Arabidopsis thaliana: one gene and its partner. The protein of the gene in region 2 interacts with the protein of the main gene of each other region in a pairwise test. Each region holds a gene or a part of one and is shown on either strand. Other genes may lie near its edges.

Region 1 (3,756 bases), on a different chromosome or scaffold from region 2:
AAAAAAGTAAGATAAAATGAAGGAAATTAGAACATTGGAAGCACATACATGGCTAGGTGGAATGTGTTTGCCGCTTAAAAGATCTAAAAGAATAGTTCCATAACTGAATATCACACTTTCAGGAATGACTCTACCTGCAAAAGAAAAACCAGAGAACTTTAATCTTCAATAATGAATTGGTTTGTCTTCGACTACGATTCACAAGATCAAGAATTTTACCTGTCCGTAAAAACTCAGGTGGAGTATAAGCTAAGTTTGTGCTATAGCTTTTGCCATCTCTACTGTTCTTCATAAGACCAAAAGTAGATAGACGAGGATCACCTTCCTCGTCGAAGAGGATTCTGTATGCATTGAGGTCATGATAGATTTTTCGGTTCTCAATATTGCAGTAATCAAGTGCTTCTGCAATATAGTCTGCGATTCGAACACGCATATCCCATGGAAGTGGCTGCTTTTCCCCTGCAAACAATGCAAACAAACACAGAAAGAAGAGAGTAAATCATCTAAAGAAGACTTTAAACCAAGCTTATAACGAGAGAAAGATAAGACTATTACAGTGGAAGAGATGCTTTGAGAGAGTATCATTGGGCATATACTCTGCCACCAACAACCTCTCATCTCCTTCAGCACAGCAACCGATCAAACTAACTATTCTCTTGTTTCTAAGCTTCCCAACACCAGTCGCTTCCACCTGATTTCACAAGTCAAACAAGGTCAACACCAGGACAAAGCTCCTATTTAAAAGCAGTCAAGATATACAGTCAAGACATTAGTCGTATCCTAAGATTTAAAAGCAGCTTTAAACCCGAAGTTATCGACTTTTCTACAATTCAGTGGTAACCAAACTCAGGGACGCTTATTCTTTTATCGAAAAATGATGCCTTGTTCTTCTTCTGTAACTAAAAACTACACCTAAATCACCATTCCTTGGACTAGTCATTGATGCGGTTTGCCTAAGAGATAGTCCAACAGAATCACCCAGGGTCTAAAATCAGACAATGAATCAATGAACAACAAATCATGCATTGACCTTTTCTCAGATATCTTACCACAAACTGTTGAGCATCAGGCCAAGATTGCCTAGAGAATCGCTTGATAGCTACAAGATGATTCCCTTCAAGCTTCCCTCTGTAAACGACATTAGGAGCTTTCTCTCCACCTTCAGAGACAATGCAGCTAGGACTAAACCCATTGGTAGCTTTCCTCAACTCATTTAGTTCAAATTCTTTGAAATTTTGGATTTCCTGATCCACTTGGTCCCCATTTACTGTAACCACATAACAAAACATACCCCGAAAAGGCAAATCAATCTAAACAAGAGTTTAATTCCAAAAAGGAAGAGACTTTATAACTTTTTCTCTGCTTTAAGCCTTTCACAAACCCTAACCCCACAAATTAAAGCAAACCCATAACAAGAACAGACGAAAAACTGCAGATTTACTAAGTGAGCAAACAAAATGTGAGTTTTTTAGAATCTAAGAGATTAGTATTATTACCTGATTCTGGTTTGTTTGGAGCTGATGGATCATCAGAAGAAGGAAGATTAGCAGTTTTGGAATGTAAACAACCCATTTGTCTCACATCCAATCAAAATATTGTTCTCCACAAAGATCAGAAATTTGGATAAGAAACAGAGATTTTTGTTGTGTCTAGTGTTCTTGGATTGAGGTAATAAAACAATGGTGGGATTTGATTTGGGGCTTGGATTTGTGCTTTGTGAGAGAAGCTGAGGAGGCAGTAGAATATAAAAATTTAATAAAATTTGAAAACTTAAAGACAAAAAGAAGTAGCTAGAGAGAGAGTGAAAGATCTGAAAAATATAGCTTCAAAAAGCTGCAGACTTGAAAAAATAGAGGTAAGAAAAAAACAATAGAGTCATGTGAAGCAAAAGATCTTTAAATTTTTCTGCTCTAGATTTTGCTTGCAAATACTTTTTTTCCTCGGTACTATACACGAAATTTTAAATTTGGGTTTCAGTTTTTAGCTGTGAAATGTAGAAGTTTTTACTACATTAGAAGAGAGACTTTCATATGAATTATCCAAAAGTATAAGTTTTGTATCCAGGTAAAGATAGATATTTTTTCTTTAATTTTGCAACTTTCTCTTAATGTTTATATCTTAGATTAACTTAAATAAAAAGATGATAATTTTTTTTTTGGCCTTAAGAAATTATTTAGGTATATCTTAGATTCTAAAGTCAATAATAATAGTGTTAAGATTTGGTAATAATTTACAAGATGACAGTTTATTTTGCAAAGTTAATAAGAAGGAGTGTTAATACAATAAAATATCAATTAAGAAAAAAAATAGTTAAAAAATATATTAAAACAGATATAATTATTTACAGTTCAATAAACATGTTAAATAGCTTACATCAATTTTGTGTTTACTATTGTCTAATCTTATCTCAAACACTCGTTGGTGACATAATTGAAGGTACAAATTTGTACCCTGCTATTAAAAACTAAAAATCAAAGTCAACAACACAATAACAATAATAGTGAAAATAATTGCTACATGATCTGCTCTCTTATTCGCCTTTTACTATGTAAAAAAAGTATTTACACTCGATTGAGCATTATTGATATATGAGATAAAATGTCAAGACGATTAGGTTTGTGTCATTCATTCTTGTTAAATTTTTTATTTTTGAAATATTGCGTTTTTTGCTTATTAACTTTTGACGACTTCTAGCCTATGACAATTTGTTTTAAAAAATTGTTGGACAAAGAAAATAGGTCACATCACATGACAAGTCTATCATGGGGCACGTGCCTCGACCTTCTTGGGTCCTGAATTTTACCGAAGATAGAAAGTAACTATTCCTCTTTCCATCAATTTTATTAAAAATTAAGGGTCTTTTTAAAAAGCTAATTAAAATTTAGAAGTCTACCACCAACATAATCGGTATTTATTTTAGTATAAGTACAAAATGAATAAGTACCGTTATTACATGATTCTTTTCACACAAAAAGTCTTCGGTTTATTATATATCAACCCCTTCACCGACAAAGTTAATAACGAATAGAGATTTCGAGATTTTAATACTACACAGATCCTTAAATGATAGTACTTGGACCGAATCATCCACTAATCATATGAGAATTTCTACAAAAGAAAGGGGGATAAAGCAAACAATTTTCGATATTATTATTCTGGATTTTCTATTCCAAATATCACAGCTACACAAAAATCCTTTTTTTAATATAACTATTTTAGTTGATGCAATGCAAATACATGAACTAATTTTTTGCTAAAAGAAAAAACTAATTTATTTTCATACAAAAGGAAAATAGTTGTACAATTTCTTTTTTGTATATTCTATATATTTCAACTTGGCCCCTTATTTTCATTGAAATTAAAATTTTAATTCCTTCACACTTTTTTAATTCTTTTATCTTAATTATAATCCTGTTTCTCAAAAAGTTCATAGTAGCGTTGTGGTTCAATATGTATTTTCTGAAAAAAGAAAAACAAAGGTCACTACTAACGTACGTTTTATCTAAACCACGAAAACAAAACAATTAAGAAGAGATGCAATTCAACACTCTCACTAATGTAGGCCTTGTTGGTGCTGCCAAGATCTAAAATGTAAGGTCTCACCTGCTTCCCCAATAGAAGAGACAAGTATATACACAATGATATTAGTATTAACCTAAACTCCTTATTCTCATTAGATGCATGGTCAAGAAAATTACTATTCTCTAGAGAACTACACAACAGAATTTACCGGTACTGAATAAGATCTGCAAGAAG
Region 2 (3,756 bases):
AGCAAGTTTACTTTTGACAAAGAAATGTTATTATAATAATAATAATAATATATTGAAATATCAAAATTTTGTGTGTAAATTTATTTAATTATTTGAAAATTTCAAAAATTTCCAAAACAATACGAGTAGCTTTGCTTAAATATATCTAAAAATACACAAAATAACTAAAATATCCAAAAAAATCCTAATATTTTCTATATATAAGTATAAATATAACTAATATATACTTATATTTGAGATATGTTCGAATTTTTTGGATTTTAAAGTTTAGAACCGTTCGGGTATTTTAAAAGTTTGGTTTCGAGTTTGGATCGGATTTTTCGGATCGGGTTTTTTGGATCGGGTTCGGGTATTATGCACTGGCCTAGATAAAAGAAAGAAACCATTCATCACCTATAACATTTTTACTGCATCCACCGTTATTATCAGTATACGAACATTACCTCAGTTTCAGCATTATAGCTTAGCAATAAATAGCTGAAGAAATGTAGTTGGTATTATTGTTATAGCTTAGCTAGTGGTGGCAACATGTTTATTTTCTATTCACCAGGTGATGATGGCTTATCGGATCAAGTCTTGATTCGAACATTAAATGTTTTACATGGATCGATATATAAACAAGTTAAAATTGGCTCACATCCATAGATCGATCCCATAATCTATGCGTTTATACATTCACTGCACTGTATTAATTTAACCCAATCATATTTGCTCATCTACTACATTAAATTCTGTCAAAGTTTCAATAGTGTGTTACACAATAACGGTCAAACAACAAATGATTCTCCAATAACAACTATTTAGACAGTCAAAAATTTTAGCGTGAGACTAGACGGATCGATAGGGCATAATAGCATATATGTATAGCCCATACATTAATAACTAGACATTATTACAAAAATTTCGGTGCTAAACAAGTTTTTTTTTAATGGACCCTTTTATTAGATTACTTTAAATAAACCGATGTTAAAAATCTTGTTTACAAAAGTAATAAAATGCGGTTGGATATGAACATTTCGTGCTAAATAATCTGTTTTAACATTTTAACTTCAAAAAAATAAAAATAAATATAAAAATCAAACACATCCTTGTCTTCATGAATCGCCTCTAAATACGTAGCAAAGATTGGTCACTTTGTTGGAAAAGACACCACTTTTATCAAGTCTGAGGAATCTGTAAAGAACGTTACTTCTTGTTTGTCTTGACCAATCATACATCTTATTGTTCATACGAGTGAACGAGTGCTTCCACTTATGTAAATAGACATGTGAGACTTCTTCGTAGGTTGACATCACCTATAGTTGGATATTTTCTTGTTGGTAAGTTTTTAGATAGCCAAAATACTATTAAACATTCATAAGCAAGTGAAAATATTTATTTGAACGATTTAACTAAAATGTTGTTATGTATTTATACAAACATATATATTTTTTTATACATATACATGTTATTTTACTAAATAACGTTTTTGTCCAAAGTTTTTTTTACTGAATAACGTGTAATCAAATAAAATAATAAAAGAACAAGGGATCTCTTCTTGATAAAATATTTTGATTTCATATAAAAGTAGGTGATATCTATAAAATAAATTTACAAAATGTTTTAGTTTGTGAATGAACTTCAGAGTAAAATTGTAAAGTTAAAAGTAATTTTACAAATTTAAATAATTAGTTTAGTTATTTAGCAGATACATATAGTCAGTCTGCTATCATAGCATTTAGGTTGAAGCCTTTAAGTTTATCTTGTTCAATTTTTTATATAATATATATATATATATTTTTAATCTAGGTGGTAAACAAGCTTTATCACTTAAAAGGTTAAAATGAGTGGGGCAATAATAGATGTAGCTCATAAGTTCTATGTTGAAAAAGATTAATACCAAAAATCAATCATTTTCTTATAATCAACCATGGAGTAGAAAAGCAATTACACAAATAGAGTAACTTCTAAAATATTTACAGCTTTTTAGGTAGTCAATTACTATTAGTACTATTTCTTAATTCTCTCAATAAAATAAAATAATAAAAAATCATATAGATAATCCCAATATCCCCAATCTTCCACTATAATTGAACAAAAAAGACTCCTTTTTAAATTCAACCTCTCCCACCTTCTCTCTGCAACTCTCTCATTTTCTTAAAATCTCTTTCTCACAGAACCAAAAACCAAAATCTCAGTCTCAAACAAACAACAACAACACACGAGTCACGAGGTTGAAGAAGAAGAAGAAGAAGCAAATATGTTAAACGGCTGGAGAAGAGCTTTTTGCACTTCCATTCCCAAAGAAACTAACCAAAACGACGTCGACGACGACGGACTCGTTGGTCTCCGCCACAAATCAACCTCTCGATTCGGCTTTTTCTCAACTCCTTCTACGCCTCGTTCTGATTCCGGCACCGGAACTTACAGCCTCCGTTGCAGGACTTCAACAGCCACCGCCGTCTCCACTACTTCATCTCTTCCCGGAACTCCAAAGCTTAAGTGCAAAACCACCACCACCGGAGAAACAACTCCCAGAAACAGAAGCCTTGTCTCTCTTTTAACACCTTCTTCTTCTTCTATTTCTCCGGCGAGCTTCACTCTCCTCAAATCCAAACTCCGATTCAAGCAGAGTAGCAGTAACAAATGTGGAATCTGTTTACAGAGTGTGAAATCAGGTCAAGGTACGGCGATTTTCACGGCGGAGTGTTCTCACACGTTTCATTTTCCTTGCGTAACCTCACGCGCCGCCGCGAATCATAACCGTCTTGCTTCTTGTCCGGTTTGCGGATCCTCGCTTTTGCCTGAGATTCGAAATTACGCTAAACCGGAATCTCAAATCAAACCGGAAATTAAAAACAAGTCGTTGAGAGTTTACAACGATGACGAAGCTTTGATTTCATCTCCGATATCTCCCGCCGGATTTCACACAATACTTGAATCAGATGAGAACGAAGACTGCGAGGAGTTTACAGGATTTTCCGTTAATACTCCGTCACCTTTAACGGCGAAATTGTTAACGGATCGAAACGTGGACGTTAAGCTCTCTCCGGAATCGGCTATCGTTGCGTCGGGTAAAGGCTACGAGACTTACTCCGTCGTCATGAAGGTGAAATCGCCACCGTTTCCGACGGCGCGTGGATTTGCGCGTAGAGTGCCGGTGGATTTGGTTGCTGTTTTAGACGTAAGCGGGAGAAATTCCGGTGGGAAATTGGAGATGTTGAAACAAACGATGAGGATTGTGCTTTCGAATCTCCGGGAGATGGATCGTTTATCGATTATTGCGTTTTCGTCCAGCTCGAAACGGTTATCGCCGTTACGGAGGATGACGGCGAACGGGAGGAGATCGGCGCGAAGAATCGTAGATATCATCACCGTTCCTGGTTCTGTCTCCGGCGTCGGAATTGATTTCTCCGGTGAAGGGATGAGTGTGAACGACGCGTTGAAGAAAGCGGTTAAGGTGTTAGACGATCGCCGGCAGAAAAACCCTTTCACCGCCGTGTTCGTTTTAACGGACCGTCAAGCCCATCAAGTGGCCCAATTAGCCCATTCGAGAATCCCTATACACACCATATGGCTTAGCCACGCGATTCCCGAAGACGCGTTTGCGAGGACCATCAACGGTTATTTGAGTTTGTCGGTTCAGGATCTCGGTTTACAGCTCGGGATAGTTTCCGGGTTGGGTCAAGGAGAGATAACTTCTGTTTACTCTCTTTCCGGTCGACCCGCTTGGCTTGGAACCGGTTCAATCCGGTTAGGTGATATGTATGCGGAGGA

Evidence for each region. Proteins that work in one complex are often made in the same cells at the same time.
Region 1: the proteins of WAVH1 (region 2) and BSK2 interact in a two-hybrid assay, tested with the Arabidopsis thaliana proteins (one large-scale study listed by BioGRID).

What each region holds. Positions count from the first base shown.
Region 1 is NC_003076.8:18,892,503-18,896,258, reverse strand, and holds the start of BSK2 (BR-signaling kinase 2), read right to left. Parts: upstream 1,882-3,756; 5' UTR 1,573-1,881; coding exon 1,497-1,572; intron 1,268-1,496; coding exon 1,050-1,267; intron 692-1,049; coding exon 556-691; intron 460-555; coding exon 220-459; intron 135-219; coding exon 49-134; intron 1-48. UniProt on the Arabidopsis thaliana protein: Probable serine/threonine kinase that acts as a positive regulator of brassinosteroid (BR) signaling downstream of the receptor kinase BRI1. Mediates signal transduction from BRI1 by functioning as substrate of BRI1.
Region 2 is NC_003071.7:9,643,194-9,646,949, forward strand, and holds the start of WAVH1 (Zinc finger (C3HC4-type RING finger) family protein), read left to right. Parts: upstream 1-2,076; 5' UTR 2,077-2,239; coding exon 2,240-3,756. UniProt on the Arabidopsis thaliana protein: E3 ubiquitin-protein ligase involved in the regulation of root growth. Acts as a positive regulator of root gravitropism. Possesses E3 protein ligase activity in vitro.